Tamandua tetradactyla: one gene and its partner. The protein of the gene in region 2 purifies or fractionates together with the protein of the main gene of each other region. This does not show direct contact. Links are inferred from orthologs where the notes say so. Each region holds a gene or a part of one and is shown on either strand. Other genes may lie near its edges.

Region 1 (8,072 bases), on a different chromosome or scaffold from region 2:
GAACTCCAGTGGAAATTGATGAGGATTTGAGTCAATTTTACTTAACCTTTGAGGGATAGGGAGAACCTAGTTGATTCTCTAGGTCATTGGTGACCCAGAAATGACACCACCTCCAATATTGTAAATTTAAACACTCCACCCTTTGATCACAACCTGCTATTGTTCCAGCTTACTTGCTCAAGCGCTTTCCTGGAAGCAAACCCTAGGCCCCATCAAGAGCTCAAATTCATTTAAGCCTCCACTTTCAAGTCTCCTCCTGTCATTGTCCCATACAGTTTAGATGTTAAGGTCCATTGCTTCCTGTAAATACTTCAACTCTCTTGTCCCTTTTTGTTTTCATTGCACTTTGCTGGGAAAACTTCAAACCTGGAATGACAAAGTCATCTTCTCTGATTCTTAAATCCCTACCACAAATACCCTTCATATTAGAGTGGAGAGAAATGCTCCACCCTCCCATGGAAAGCTAGTCCCTTCAGCTGTGACCTGGATCTCATTCCCTCCATGCTTTCAATGCCTTTGCCCCTTTGATTAACTCACACACACACAAACATACATACACACACACGTGTTACATATATAAGAATGTGAAGATAAGAATGCTCAATAGCAGAACTATTCATAGTTGCAAAAAAACTGGAAACATTCCAAAGCTCACTGATAAGAGAATGACTAAACAAAGTATGATATATGCTGTAATAGAATAGTGTACAGCAGTGAAAAGTCTCTCAACTACAGTTGTATGAAACAGCTTGGAAGAATCACAGATCAAAAAGTTGAGTGAGAAAAGCAAGTCAAACAATTTTTATGAGGCTCAAAAACAAACAACTGTTTGTATGGTTTAGGCCATACATATATACCAAGACTATATTTAAAAGGAAAGGAATGATAATTCAGGATAGTGGTGGTCTCATGAGGGTGGGGGGTCCAGGGAGAAGGGAGAAGGTGTAAACACAGGTAAATGCAAAATATTGGCTAGTTTTCGAGTTGGATGGCATGCACACAAGAGTAGATCACATTATCATGCTTTCAACATTCATAAATATTACATGTATTTTTTGTTATGTATCAAATATTATGTAAAATAATATTTTAAAATTTGGGAGGTATGAAAAAGAGAAGAATCTGTGATGAGACCTTTCTGTTCAAAATAACTATCTCAACCTTAGTTTTTACTCTTCCCAACACCACCATCAGAGTCAATTAGGTCAGTCTCCTTATTAAACTTAATAATTCCTTTATGCTACTGCTATTTCCCTGCTCTCATCACACCTTCCTATCCATCTATCTAAATCCTACCTAATTCCAAGATTCAGCTCAAGGTCTATGTAATTCCAAAGTCTTCTCTTACTACCCCATCTCTCATTTCTTTCTTTCCCTGAACAGCTTTCTAGCATTTACCAACCTGTGGATTCCAAGGAAATCAGCATTTAATTATATTGCTTATAATCAGTTGATAACCATTATAGTTCTTGGTTGTGAATGACATTACTAGTTTAAATGCAAAATAAATTTATTAAAGAATACAGATGGCTCCCTAGTATAGCTGAGTGGGCAGAAAACAAGGCTTGACATCTATATCGACTAATGCCAAAATTACGCTGATCTACTGCTTCAGTGGTGCCCGTACTGGTGCCACCAATGGGACTTATCCCTGACACATGGCCTCTAGTACCTCTAGCCTTGCTGCCCTTGGAAGCTGGCTAATTTCTAGCCAGGATGGATTCCAAGCAGTGCCTCCATCTTCACATCTCTCTCCTTTGACCTGAAATCTCATCCAGGTGTGGAAATAGGATACTCAGTACACACCCAATCACAAGGGACAAAGGGAGGATGAGTTTTTCATTTCTATCCTAAGCAGGGATGAACTCATAATGTAAGGGGAGCCCCTCAAAATAGAAAGGGTGATCAAAGACGATCTCTTTGATATCTTACATATTTGATTGTAAGTTTATTAAGAACAAGGACCCTAGTTTATACCTATATTACATAACAGTCATAAACACCTGTTGATTTATTGTTCTAGTCTTTCGTATCCACCATTAAAACAGTACCTTTCGGATCATCTAATTCAACACCTTTTGTATTACAAAAGTGCAAACAGACTCAGAGCATAAAGTAGTTTGATCATGGTCATGCTTTTAGTTATTATTGGACCTGACATTCTGGTTTGAGGATGGATTCTGGGAAAGATTCCCAAAGGTATAAGACAATGTACAGTTTACTTGAGTCTTCCTGTGTTGCGAATTGCTCATGTGCAGTCTTGTGAAAGTACATTCTTAATATTTTTTTGGAAACACTCCAAAATTGTAAATTGGCAAAATTAATATGGAAGTTAAATTTTTTTCTAGTTTGCTATTTGTGGCAGAGTAGGCCAGTTGTCTGTCACCATTTCTTCTCTCCTACTTCCAAGTAGTTGCAAGCCTGAATTTTAACTGGGCACGTGGCCACTAAGACTACATTCCCAGACTCTCTTGCAGCTAGGTGTGGACATGTAATCACATTCTGGATAATGGGATGTAGTAGAACCGTTATATGCAACTTCTGGGAAATGTTCTTAAAATATGGGAACATGCTTTTTTCTCTCCTTCCTACTTCCTGCTGACTGGAAAGAGGCTGGAGTTCTAGAAGCCACCTCGGACCATGATGAGGACTTGAGAATGAAACATCCATGTAGAATGCTTGCTGGTAAAGCAAGAAGTCAGGGGATAGAACACCATTCTAACACCGGACTTAGCCACCTCCAGACTTCATGTAAACTTGTTTATCATTATTTTAGTTGATTTTCATTCTTTCTGTTACTCGCAGTTGAAATTAATACTAACAAATTCACTATTCATAAACCCTAGCCTGGGCCCAAACAGAATTACTTATTAAAATTTTAACATTTTCTAAAAGGATCAAATATTCTAATAATTATATGGATAATAACAGCTAATATTTATTAAATAGTATCATTGAATTCTAACAAGTCTATGTAGGTACCCTTAACAACTTAGTGAATCACAAAGACACTGATAAATGGAACTCAGATTCAAACCCTCAGAGCTTCCCTCTGTTGTTCTTTTGTTTTGGGGGGGCTGGGGAGTGTGGTGTGTGTTTTAGTTTGCAAGAACTGCTGGAATGCAATATACCAGAAATGGAATGGCTTTTAAAAGGGGGAATTAGTAAGTTGCAAGTTTACAGTTCTAAGATCATGAAAATGTCAAAATTACAGTAAGGCTAAAAGAGTGTCCAAATAAAGGCATTCAGGAAAGGATACCCTGGTTCAAGAAGGCCGAGATGTTCAGGGTTTCTCTCTCAACAGGAAAGACACATGGCCATGTCTGCTGGATATCTCTCCAGGCTTTTCCAATGGCTTCCCCAGGGGCGTTTTCTTTCTTCATCTCCAACCGCCTCTGGCTGTGTGGGCTCTGTTGACTCCCGTGGCTCTAAAGCTTTTTCCAAAATGGTTCCTTCTTAAAGGGCTGGAGTAAGCTACCCCACTTTGAATTGGTGGAGATGCATCTCCATGGAAACCGTCTAACCAAAGTTACCCTCCCCCCACCAAAAAAAGTTACCACGTGGGTCATATCTCCATGGAAACAATAAAAAAGATTCCACCCAGCAACATTGAATGAAGATTAAAGGACATGGCTTTTTTTTGGTACATAATAGCTTCAAATCAGCACAGGATGGGATACAATTTTTCAAAGTGCTTTTACATTTACCTTTTAGGTATTACAAAGTGGAGAGTATATGCTATTATCTGGATAATATTATCTGTCTCAGTTATTCAGACTATTCAAGTTGACATATTTCTAGTTCAAATTAATGTTAATTGTTAATTGTCTTTATGTTATCTTGCATACATAAAATAAAACCATAAAAATTAAGAAAAATGTGGTACATATACATATTCACATACATAATTTTAGGCAGATGGAATTTGCAATTTTACATACCATATTGTTTTTACAATTTGATTCATCTCTTCAAATTTTAAATATCTCAAGCTTCATAGAAGTATAGAGATTTGTCATATCTTAATGATGCTTTCAGTATTTGCTGAAGGTAACATATTATTTATTTTTTGCATGAGCAGGCACCAGGAATTGAACCCAGATCACCGACATAGCAGGCGAGAACTCTGCCACTAAGCCATCATCACACCCCAGGAAGACACATTTTAAAAAATAGTTTTTGGTTTTGGTTTTTTTTTTGGCATGGGCAGACTCCGAAATCGAACCGGGTCTCCCGCATGGAAGGCGAGAATTCTGTCACTGAGCCACAGTTGCCCGCCCAAATTTAGTTTTCTGAATAGTTAAAATTTACATATTCAAAAATAAATAGAGGGCGGTGGACAGTGGCTCAGTGGTGGAATTCTCACTGGCATGCCGCAGGCCCAGATTCAATTCCCGGTGCCTGCCAATGTAAAAAAAAAAAAAGAAGAAAAATTAAGTCCCCAACTTACCTCATCCCATACTTTCAGTTTCCACACTACAAATATTAGTTATATATTGATTTTTGTGTCGCCAGTTTTTTTTTTTTTTGGTGTTTGTAAGCGTCTGTGTACACAAGCAAATGTGAATATACTTGGATTTGCTTTTTTCTTAACAAAAAGGTAACATTTTGACTTTCTTCTTTGTGTCTACACTCCTAGTCTCTAATTCTCTCCCAGCTCTTTCCTCGGCTCCTTATTCAATAAGCAATTAATAAAACTATTGTGCTGAAAGCATTGCTGCTATTAACTTTGAAGAATTGGTAGTTTCTCATCAAATACTGTTTGCCTTTTATCTTTTTCACTCTATTCACAATCCAATTTTCTCAAAAACCGAAACCTACTTCAGAGTCTAATTACCTAGAGCGTAACAAATATGAACTTTACGTAAATAAGGAGGCTTAATTCCGGTGAGAAATTCATGAGCGCGGAACCGATAGTGAAACGGGAGTCAGTTTCGGGAGGGACCCCAGAAATGTGGGGACCAACAAGGACCGGCCGGATCTGGGGAAGGCGGGAGGACGAGCGCTTCCGGTGGGCTCCGCCCTGCCGCCCTCCGTAGATTTGGCGCCAAACGCCCAGGGTGCTGCTCGTGGCAGGAAGCTCGGGTGTCGCGAGAGGCGCGGTTTGCTGCCACCTAAGGCAAGCGCCAGGCAGTGGTTCCTGTAGCATGCGTGAGGTGAGATCGGGCTGGCCGGCGAGTGAAGCTCTTGAGGGAAGAGGCGGCCTTGGGAGCCAGGCGTAGGTGCAGAAGAGCTGGTGAGTCGCAGGAAGGGGTTGAGGAAGCTGGAGGACTGGACTGAGGCGGCCCGACAGGGACTGGAGAGGAGAGGCGACCTGACCGGCCTCTTCCTATGGGGCTAGGAAGCAACTGGCATGACGGCAGATTCGTTGTGTGTTTCTGGCCTGTCAGTAAACGGAACCTTTTAGCTGTAGGGAGCCTTTCTGCCACGTCTTTGTATCCCGAGTTTCTGTGCAGGGGCTTCTGAACGTAGAAAGCAGCCTCTGAATGTTGAATCAATGAAGTGAGAACAGACGGGAGCGAGGATGGGAGGAGAGAAGGTTGGCGCAGAGGAGAGCGGGGATGGGAGGCTTTTTGGGGAGATAGCAGGAGGGAACATGGAAGCAGCCTGTTAGGACTTCCTTGGCGACAAGGGGCTTCTGTTTTGACGCCTTGGGAAAAGACTTGGACAATGCGAAGCAGAAATGTGTGCGAATGAATTGTGGTTTGTATACTGGATTTCTTTTGTTACTTTCACTCTTCTGGGAGTTTGAGGTCTAGGCGATTATATCAGTGTCTAAAACTAGTATGCCTGGTCAAGAAGTGAAATATATAGGTATCTTACTCCAAATATGAAGAGAAAAATCAATTTACTGGCAACCCAGCTCTATGCTTCAGTTCGATATTAAGTGATCTTGCCACAGTTTATATTGTTTGTACCCTGTCCTCAAAGTCAAATTCTCCTTCAGCCTCAGAGGTCTGACCCTATTTCCCAGAGGACTTTACTAGAATGGGGCTAAATATATTTGTTATAGATGGGAAGCTGTTTGAGATTATGTGCACTCTCCCTGCCTTTCCAGTTTTGAAAATCTGTGGTTCTTTTATCTTTCTTGATAGTGGGTCATCATCAGGAATTGATACTTTATGTTTTTATGAGTTTATGGCCATAGAAACTTAGAACGACTTTAGAGCTTGTTAGTTCCAATGGTTTTACAGTTTTGGTTGAACTTTGGAGTTCTTTTCTTTCATTTCTTCATTCAACAGATATTAACACCTGCGTGTAGCAGTAATGAGGCGCTAACAGACCTACTTGGTCTTTGCCCCTTAGAGGTGCAGTCTAGTATGGGAGACAAATACTAATCAGATAATTACACAAATAAAACAATATTGAAACTGGATGAGTACTATGAAAAAGAGGTATTTGATACTATGAATGCTTATAGGAGGATTTAATTTAGGAAAATTTGGATAGGCTTTTCTGAGGAGATGGCAGTTGGGGTCTGAGATCTGAAATTAGGAGTCAGGAAAGAGCGTTCAAGACAGAAAACAACATTTGCAAAAATCCAGTGGATCAGGCAATAGTCAAGGAACTGAAAGAAGGTCAACAAGGATAGAGGAAAAAGTGTTGGAGAGTGGTGTGAGCTGAGACTAGAGAGGAAGGAAGGGGCCAGACAATGCAGGAGTTTTATTTTTATCCTAAAAACAGTAGCCTTGTTGTAATGTCTTTAGATTTACATTTCCAAAGATTCAGTCCAGCTGAAATATAGAGGCAGAAGTAGACGGGAATAGTGGATTACTCCCAGCAAGAAATGATGAGAAGTGGTGGTGGAGGTAGGGAAAAATGGACAGATTTCAGGGATATTTAGGAAATAAAATGAATGATGTATGTGGGCTGTGGAGAAGTGTCAAGGATGACACCTAGGTTTCTGCTTAGATAGATGTCATTCACTGAGTAGGGAAAGTTTAAAAGTTCAGTTCGCACATGAGGAGGTATAGATGCCTTTGAAACACTGAAGGGCTAAAGTGGGAAGTAGGGATCTGGAGCTCAGAATTGAGGCCAAGGGTGAAGATGAAAATCAGTGAGCTGTCTATAAGTAAATGATTAAAGCCATATACATAAATGAGCAAAAAGGGCCTAGGTTTGAGTCTTGGATATTTAGCGGCCAAGTTAGAGAAAGATGAACCTGCAGAAGAGATCCAAGAGGCGTGTCCAGAAAGGGAGGAGAACCAGGTAAGTACTATATGTCAAGAGATACATTTTTCAAGAAAAGAGTTAAAAGTTGCTGAGAGGTCAAGAAAGATGATATAGAAAAACATTCTTTTGAGTTACCAAGCTGAGGATAATTTCCCTTTCTCCAAAGGAAACATTACCTTAAACAATATATAAACAGATTTTTTTTTTAAAAGCTGCCCTCCTTGTGGTAGGAGTGAGGTACCCATCTCCCTATTTCATACCTATTTGAATCAGAGTTTGACACCCTCTGAAAAATTAGAAATCATTATATTGTGGTAGGGGAAACCCAGCAGTTGGGTAAAATGATTTGCTCAAAATCAGATTGTTATTTAGCAGTAGGGTCTACATTACAACTCAAGTTACTTTGATTTCTGTTCAGATTCTTTTTCCATAATTATCATCTTCTCCACTTATTTTCATGATGTATGAGTTTGAAATGTGGTTTAACTGATTGAAACGTGAATTTTGTTGCAGATGGAACTTGACTGTATTATGGGTGAATGACTAATATTTTCACTCTTTATTTTTCCCCCACTAGAGAACAAAATGCTGGAACCACAGGAGAACAGCTTGATTGACCTACCAGATTATGATCCTATAGGAGATGAAATTTTTCCTCCTTTTCCACCTCCAGCCTCTCCAGAGAGAGAAGATGGTGAGGGTGCTGGACCTGATGAAGGTCTGTATAGGGACTTTCAGAAAAGTTTCCATGCTCATTTATCTATCAACTTAGATAATAAAGGTGAAACTGTCAAGTAATATTAAATCTTGTTGTATGTCACCAGAATCAGGGAGAGGAGCACCTGTTCCTATACCTCCAAAGAGAATTGTTAAAAGGAATTTACCCAAGTTGGATGCTC
Region 2 (7,340 bases):
TGGTGCAAGCTGTGGGCCACATCAGTGGAGCCCACGTCAATCCTGCAGTCACTTTTGCCTTCCTCGTGGGTTCCCAGATGTCCCTGCTTCGTGCCTTCTGCTATATGGCAGCCCAGCTCCTGGGAGCAGTGGCTGGGGCTGCCGTGCTGTATAGTGTTACCCCGCCTGCCGTCCGAGGAAATTTAGCACTTAACACGGTAATGTTTGGCTGAGAGGGGCTGTGACACCTAGTATTCTGAATCCCTGACTGGTGCGGGTGGATCAGTTCCCTGGGTTCTGGGACGTGTGTGTGTGTGTGTGTGTGTGTGTGTGTGTGTGTGTGTGTGTGTGTGTGTGTGTGTGTGTGTGTGTGTGTGTGTGTGTGTGTGTGTGTGTGTGTGTGTGTTTGCATGTGCCTGTTTCAGGGTGGGGAAGATTAGCCAGTGATATGGAGGGGTAAGGAAGGCATAGAACTCCCAACTGAGAATCAAGGAAACTGAATTCAGGTCCCAGGTTTCCTCCCATCTCCTTGCTGGGTCTTGAGGAAATTTTTTTTATCTTAGGGACCTCAGTTTCCCCATCAGTGCGAGTGAAATTATTTCTACCTTGAAGGAGTATTGTTAGGACAAATTAAGAAACAAATATAATTATTATGAAGGGGGTTGTATTATCATTCCTTTCCAGGGAACTGATGCCATAAGGGGATCCTTGCCTGGGAAGCCTTGAGGAGGTAACACGGTGACAGCCTAATAGGTGCCTTCCGTCTTCTTTCTTTGGCCAGTTGCACCCTGGGGTGAGTGTGGGCCAGGCTACCATGGTGGAGATCTTCCTGACACTCCAGTTTGTGCTCTGCATCTTTGCCACATATGACGAGAGGCGGAATGGCCGCCTGGGCTCTGTGGCCCTGGCTGTTGGCTTCTCCCTCACCCTGGGGCACCTCTTTGGGGTAAGCAGAGGAGGCAAACAACTTCTCATTCAGGGATTCCAGGGCCCCCAAACCTTCCCCAACTTTTCAAGGTTCTTCCCATCCACTTTACTCTGCATCTCCCTGCCTTATTCCTCTCCCTTATGACTGCCATATCAAGTCCTTCTGGACCCTAAGGTGGAAATGCCTGAATCACAGGGAAATATGGGCTTTGTCTTGAGCTCATAGCCTCTTCCCAGATAGCAAGCACATCAGTGCCCTTACCCATTATGGGGACCTTTAAAGAGACGTGCAAGTTGTGCTTCCCTACTTGTTGCTGACTGGAGACAAGGTACCAGATCTCGGGGGCAAACTGGGTTGTGGAGAGAAGAGATGGGATGAAATGGAGAGGGTGTTTCAGTTACAACTGTGTCTTTTACAGATATACTATACCGGTGCAGGCATGAACCCTGCCCGCTCCTTTGCTCCTGCCATTCTCACCCGAAATTTCACCAACCACTGGGTGAGTTAAAGGAGAGGGGCAAAATCCTGAATCTCTTCTGAATGGGTGTGGGCTGCAGGTTCCAGGTTTGTTTCCAGCTTTCTATCTGGACATATTGGCTGTTCTACTTGGCACCTCAGCCAAGGGGACTGTCAGAGAGTTTGGCATGCCTATGTGAGCAGGATTCATCATTTTGCTGGGAAGAGAGGCTCTTGCTCATACTGTTCTTTTTCTTATAGTCAGAAGATTTTACTGAGTACCAGTGGATACCAAAATTAGGGGCTATAAAGCCAGAGAACTGAATATGAAGATAGAAACCTCTGTCTAGCACTTTACTAGCCTGGGTGTAACCTTGGGCAAGTAATGCAATCATCCTAAACCTTGGTTTCTTTAACTATAGGATGGCTGTCATGAGAAATGTGAAAGTTACATGTGGGAAACATTTAGCATAGAATCTGGTATGGAGTAGGGTCCTCAATAAATATTAGCTATGATTAAGTTGTTGGCTATAGACAAACCAAACATTTGAAAATAATTCAATTTTTTTCAAAAGAACATTTAAACTGTGTAAATAGATAACAACAAATTGAATATATGTGTGTTAAGAAAATGTGGGACAAAGGAATGATTTGATGAATGAAAAAATAAATGTGAGTTTTGAGATACAGGCAATGGAGCACAGCCTAGGAGTTAAAGAACAAACGAACACTCACTGATTTCTGCTTAAATAGTACCCAGTTTTATACACCAAGTCCAGGATGCCTGTTTTCCACTGAGAGGGTTGGGAAAAAAAGCAGCCTTCTTCTTAATCCCCTCCCCAAATCTGAGTATTCCTTTCCTTTTCCTGCAGGTGTTCTGGGTGGGCCCAATCATTGGAGGGGCCCTGGGCAGCCTCATCTATGACTTTCTCCTCTTCCCCCGACTCAAGAATGTTTCTGAGAGACTCTCTATCCTCAAAGGTGCCAGACCCAGTGACCCCAATGGACAACAAGAGGGCACAGGGGAACCTGTTGAACTGAAGACCCAGGCCCTGTAAAAGCTCCAGCTGGATACAAGGAGTAGGAAGCTTCTAGGTTTAAATGCAGAGGCTGATTCAGCCCCTAGATGAAGAAAGACTGTGGGGACAGACATGTACTTCTTTATTTTTAAATTTACATGTGGATGTGTGTGTTTTTTCCCCTTTTGCCGTGTGAAATTTTTCAAGTTGCATTCATGAGCTGGTTGGTGCAAACTTTCCTTTCTCCTTCCCCATCTCACCTCCCTTCGCCGTGTGTGCATGATTGTGGGTATGAATGTGGGTGAGTGTGGCTGTGTCTGAGTTTTGGGGCATGAAAGCTAGGGAAGGGAAAAGTGATATCATCCTATGCCTTCCTCCTCCACTCAGTGTGGTGAACACAGGGAACCAAGACTTCAAGTTTCGGGCCTATAGTCTGCTATTAGTCAAGTGTGTGCTTTTTGGTTTCTAAGAGAGAAAAAAGGTGTTACTCCTCACAGGAGGCAGATGGAAAGAAGTGGGGAAACAAGGCATTCCAGTATTTCTCTGGAATGAGAAGGGGCTCAACATTTCTCTGGAATGAGGCTAAGATGCTTGTGGTTGTAGGAATGGTGGTAGCGGTGGGAGACGAGACGGAGAGGGGATAGGAAATGGAGGTATAAACCCCAGACCAGGATGTAATTGCACCACAAAGTTTTGGGGAAATTCATGGGAAAGTATAGCTTATTTATCTCAGGGATGGCTTGCCCCAGGGACTCGGGTGGGGAAGTAGCTTTGAGAAAAAAGAGCACTGGGATACTGGGATTTGAGCTGTTCTGTAAAGCCTCATAAACCTGTCTACGTCCACCGGCTGGCTTGTGTGTTCATTCTGGTGTGGGCCAGCAAGTTCCCAATTAAAAAAATAGGAGCGGATGAGACCAGAATTTAGAAAAATAAAGTTTAGCTGCTCTGCCTGACATCTCCCTTTCCCCCAGAATGGTCTCCTGACAGACAGTACTTAAGCCCCATAAGAGCTTTCTAAGGTCAAAACAGGAATTGGGATGCCGGGAGGAAAACGGTGGAGGTTGGGGAAGATGCATGCTTTGACCCTCAGGGTTTTAACTCAGTCACTGCATCGCCTGCCATGCCGGAGACCCGGATTCGATTCCCGGTGCCTGACCATGCAAAAAAACAAACAAAAAAAAGACATCTTTCTGCTTTTATCACTAATTCTATAGTTCCCTTTATGTTCCTTTTGTGGGTATCTTTTTCATTTTTCTCATCTGCCCTTTCATTTCGCAGCAAACCGCCTCTCTCACACATCCCAGAAATAGACTCCATCTATTTAGATGCTTAATAATTCAAGAGGTAATTATTCGTTTGAGCCCTATCCTTTTTTGTGGTAAGCAAAATACACTCATCTCAGCAGAGGCCAGAGGAGACTCAATTGACCAATGAACATTTAGTGTTGATCTCTTACTTTTATGAGCCAACTGCACACGTCGCAAACTCTAAGCCTGTTCCTACAATATGACAGATTCAAACAAACAAAATACAACAGAAAACATAAAGAACAAACCCTCTCTTTTCCGGACCTCTGCTTTCCACCTCCTCCCAAATAAAGCCTAACTTTTCTAAGTAACCAATCAAAACTTTGGAATAGTCTACTTGTCTAGGAGAAGGGGAAAACTATTTGTAACTTTACTCCTAATCAGACTTTTATTCCTCTTATGTTAAATCAGCAGAAAGTTCATAGCAGTGTGCTTTTTAACGCAATGGAGGGGATCGTCACAGATAAAACAGAACTTGCGCTCTCTTTCCATTTTCTTACTCCATCACCAACCCCCCTGCCCACTCGTATCACGTGGACCAGCCCGCCAAGCCACGCCCCTCTCCTCAGACTGGCGGGGACTGGTCGAGCCGAGTCTAGTGGCGGGAAACGCTGCGGCCCAGCGCCTCTGGGCTGCTGCCTCTACGAGCATCCCGAGGACCCGCGGGGAGCGAATGAGTGAGTGTGTGGGTAGGAGGGCTCTAATCGGACACGGTCGGGTCCCTTTGAAGCTGCGGGGACACTTCTGTGAGGCACCGAGTCCCTGTCCCGCCTCTCTGCTTAAAGGCAGGGAGCGGGGCGGGCGCTCTTGGCGCGCACGCGCAGTTTCGCGCGCTGCGTTCTTCGCCCCGAAGCCGCTGCGTTCCGAATCCGCGCTGGGCACTCTAATCGGTGCATTCCTTCCCGCGTCAAGGGGACCGCCCTGTCCTCGCTCTGCTCAGTTGGTCCTCGCGCGGGCTTAGGGCTGCGATGGGAAAAAAGAATAGATGGTTCCGGAGACTTAAACTTTGAAACACCCCGTTCCGTTCACCCGAAACAACAGGTCTGCGGCTTGGTGGTCATCGGGTTGGAATTTAAGTCATTTAACTTACATCTTTGGTTTTGACAAAACGGACTCCTTATTTCTTCCTCACATTTTCCTCCTTTCCTTTGGACAGCAGGCTTAAAGGAGGACACGGCCTTTGCCTGGGTTTGTTGCCTAGACCATCATTCACTAATGAAGTTTCTTCCCTTGAGTTTCAGTTCTTTATGTCATGCCCTTCATGCTGCCACCAGTTATCTTTATAAAAAGATCAATCTGATGATTTCAGATTAAATTAAAATTTCCTCCTTGGTCACCCATAGTCAGGCTTAAATCCTTAAGTGGGCATACAGGGCCTTTCAAAACAGTTTGACCCTGAGCCTCTCATTTCAGCCTTATTTTCTAAACCTCCCTAAATATTTTCCTTTCTCATGTACGGGACTCACCAGCCACATGGAAAGGATGCCATCTGCCTTGGGCTCTTTCGTGCTGTCCCTACTACTGTGCTGTGCACTGTGCCCAGTGCCAGCGGTACAGAAATGAATAAACAGTGTCAGGCTTTAAGGATCTTTGCGGTTACTGGGTGATGAAAAGTTTGCCCTGGCTTCCATACCCCACACGCTTGTGGGTAAGATTATCTCCTTTCACAACTTCACACTCCATTTTATATCCTAATTCCTTCAAATCTCCAGCTTCATCCTCTCCACCCTCAGGTCAAGACATGTCTGTTTCAGTTCAGTTTGATAAGTATGGAGCACCTCCTATGTGTTGGTCATGATGATTCCTGCTCTCAAGGAGTTTACATTTTAGTGATGTTATTAAGATAAGATCGAGTTAAAATTACCTGAGGAACATTTTCAAAACACTCTTCCCCAAGTCTCACCCCCTGTATCTTTTGATTCAGTATCTATGCTCTGAAAATTCAAAGATGAAAAAGGAACAATTCCTGCCACAGGGAATCTAAGGCTAATGGAAGGTGGCAGACATTTTAAGCAGAATCTGTTTTACCTATTATATGTACAACATGAAATGCGGGTGCCTGGACAGAAGTCTATATATGGCACAAAGTAGACACAAAGGAGAAAGTGATTGCTTTTGTATGGAGAAGTCCGGAGAAAGAATCATTTGGCAGTCTTAAAAGATGAATTGGGAGAAGGGCATTCTGGACAGAGGAGTATCTTGAGAGAGAAGACTTCAGAGGTGATCAGCAGGCAGATCATGCTAATGATTTTATATTGTAGGCATTGAAAACCGCTGAAGTTTCAGTCTTATGGCTGTTGTTTTGACTTAAATTATGATGTATGTAATGGTAAACAATTTAAATAGTACCAAACTGAAAGATAAATATTTCCCCTACTGTGGCCTCCCATTTGAAGGGTTTTAAGCAGGGTGATTGTATGGCCAAATTTGGTAACCATGTGGAAGTTAGATTTAAAGGAACAAGACTGGAAGCAGGAAAAGAGGTTAAGAAAGCAGTTGAGTAATTAAGCAAGAGATATTCAGGACCCAAGTTGGATAGTGATTGCCTATGGCAGGCATAGGAATGAGGTGTGACTGTAAATGGCCTTGAGGTTTTGAATATTAGATTGTGATGATGGTTGTACAATACTGTAAACATAATAAAATTAATTGAATTGTATACTTAAAAAAAAAGAGCCATTCAGGACTTGAACAAGGCAGTAGCAATGGTGATGGATAGCAGCTGGGTAGGATAGTTTAAGGAGGCAGAAATTAGCCAGAATCAGTGATCCATTCAGTGTTAGGAGTTAAGTTGATGAAGGCATCTAGGATGACTCTAAGGTTTCTTCTAACTTGAAAGACTGAGTAGATAATAGTGCCAGTCCCTGAGAGGTCCAAAAACAAAAAAGATGAAGAATTCGGTTTTGGACATGTTGAGTGTGAGGCATTTTTGAGATATGAAGAGGGAGAATGCTCTCCATTAATCAGTTTAACATGTGGTATTGGTACTGGACGAGCTCACAGGAGCCAGAGACAGGTGGTAGTTGAAAGTATGGGAATGGATAAGTTTGCCCAGGAATCAGTATAATGAGATACGATGAAGACTGAACATGCAGGCCTATTGAACATCAGCATTTAAGGTGGAGAGGAGGAACAGTCACGGGGGCAGGTTTGCTTTATTCTGTTCACCCCCCCCCCCCCAATTCCCAATGTATGTAGATGGAACAGTATAAAGGGAAGGTTGGAAATAATTGAGGAACAACCACCTAAGGGATGGAAAGTGATTGAACAAAATCACAAATGGAGGGTTTAGATTAGAAGCATAGAGCGGAGGGTGGGTATTTGAGATATAATGTATGTTTTTTAGGCCAGGGTGACGAGGATTTGAGAGTTCATGGATTTGAGAGTTCATGCCTGATAACTTTGATTGCTACTAAGAGGAAGGAAGCAGAAACACCAGTTGAGAGGTGTGGGATACAGTGGAATAAAGGGGCTTAAGGATAGTGGTGAAGGTTAGAAACAGCTGTTTCTTGGAAAAGAGAAAGCTAACAGGAAAACTAAAAAGGATTTCTAGATCAGGCTGAGGGCTCGGCCAAGGTTGGAGACTACACATCTGTTATATGTCATATGCATTTTTTTATGCATAAACACAGAAAATACTGAGTTCTCATA

The links. The genes of interacting proteins can lie anywhere in the genome.
Region 1: the proteins of TIMELESS (region 2) and TIPIN purify together in Homo sapiens (affinity purification with western blotting; 6 studies listed by BioGRID and IntAct, counting the BioPlex papers as one, with this or other methods). This does not show direct contact. The link is inferred for Tamandua tetradactyla from reciprocal best matches to the Homo sapiens genes TIMELESS and TIPIN.

The regions. Positions count from the first base shown.
Region 1 is NC_135340.1:83,377,101-83,385,172, reverse strand, and holds the start of TIPIN (TIMELESS-interacting protein), read left to right. Parts: upstream 1-5,002; 5' UTR 5,003-5,156; exon of another isoform or gene 5,157-5,236; intron 5,237-5,299; exon of another isoform or gene 5,300-7,209; intron 7,210-7,750; 5' UTR 7,751-7,758; coding exon 7,759-7,891; intron 7,892-7,997; coding exon 7,998-8,072.
Region 2 is NC_135333.1:123,518,253-123,525,592, reverse strand, and holds the start of TIMELESS (protein timeless homolog), read left to right. Parts: upstream 1-4,234; 5' UTR 4,235-4,362; coding exon of another isoform or gene 4,363-4,366; intron 4,367-4,595; exon of another isoform or gene 4,596-4,652; intron 4,653-7,340. Other genes in the region: MIP (lens fiber major intrinsic protein), read left to right, coding at 1-197, 761-925, 1,326-1,406, 2,236-2,421. UniProt on the Homo sapiens protein: Plays an important role in the control of DNA replication, maintenance of replication fork stability, maintenance of genome stability throughout normal DNA replication, DNA repair and in the regulation of the circadian clock.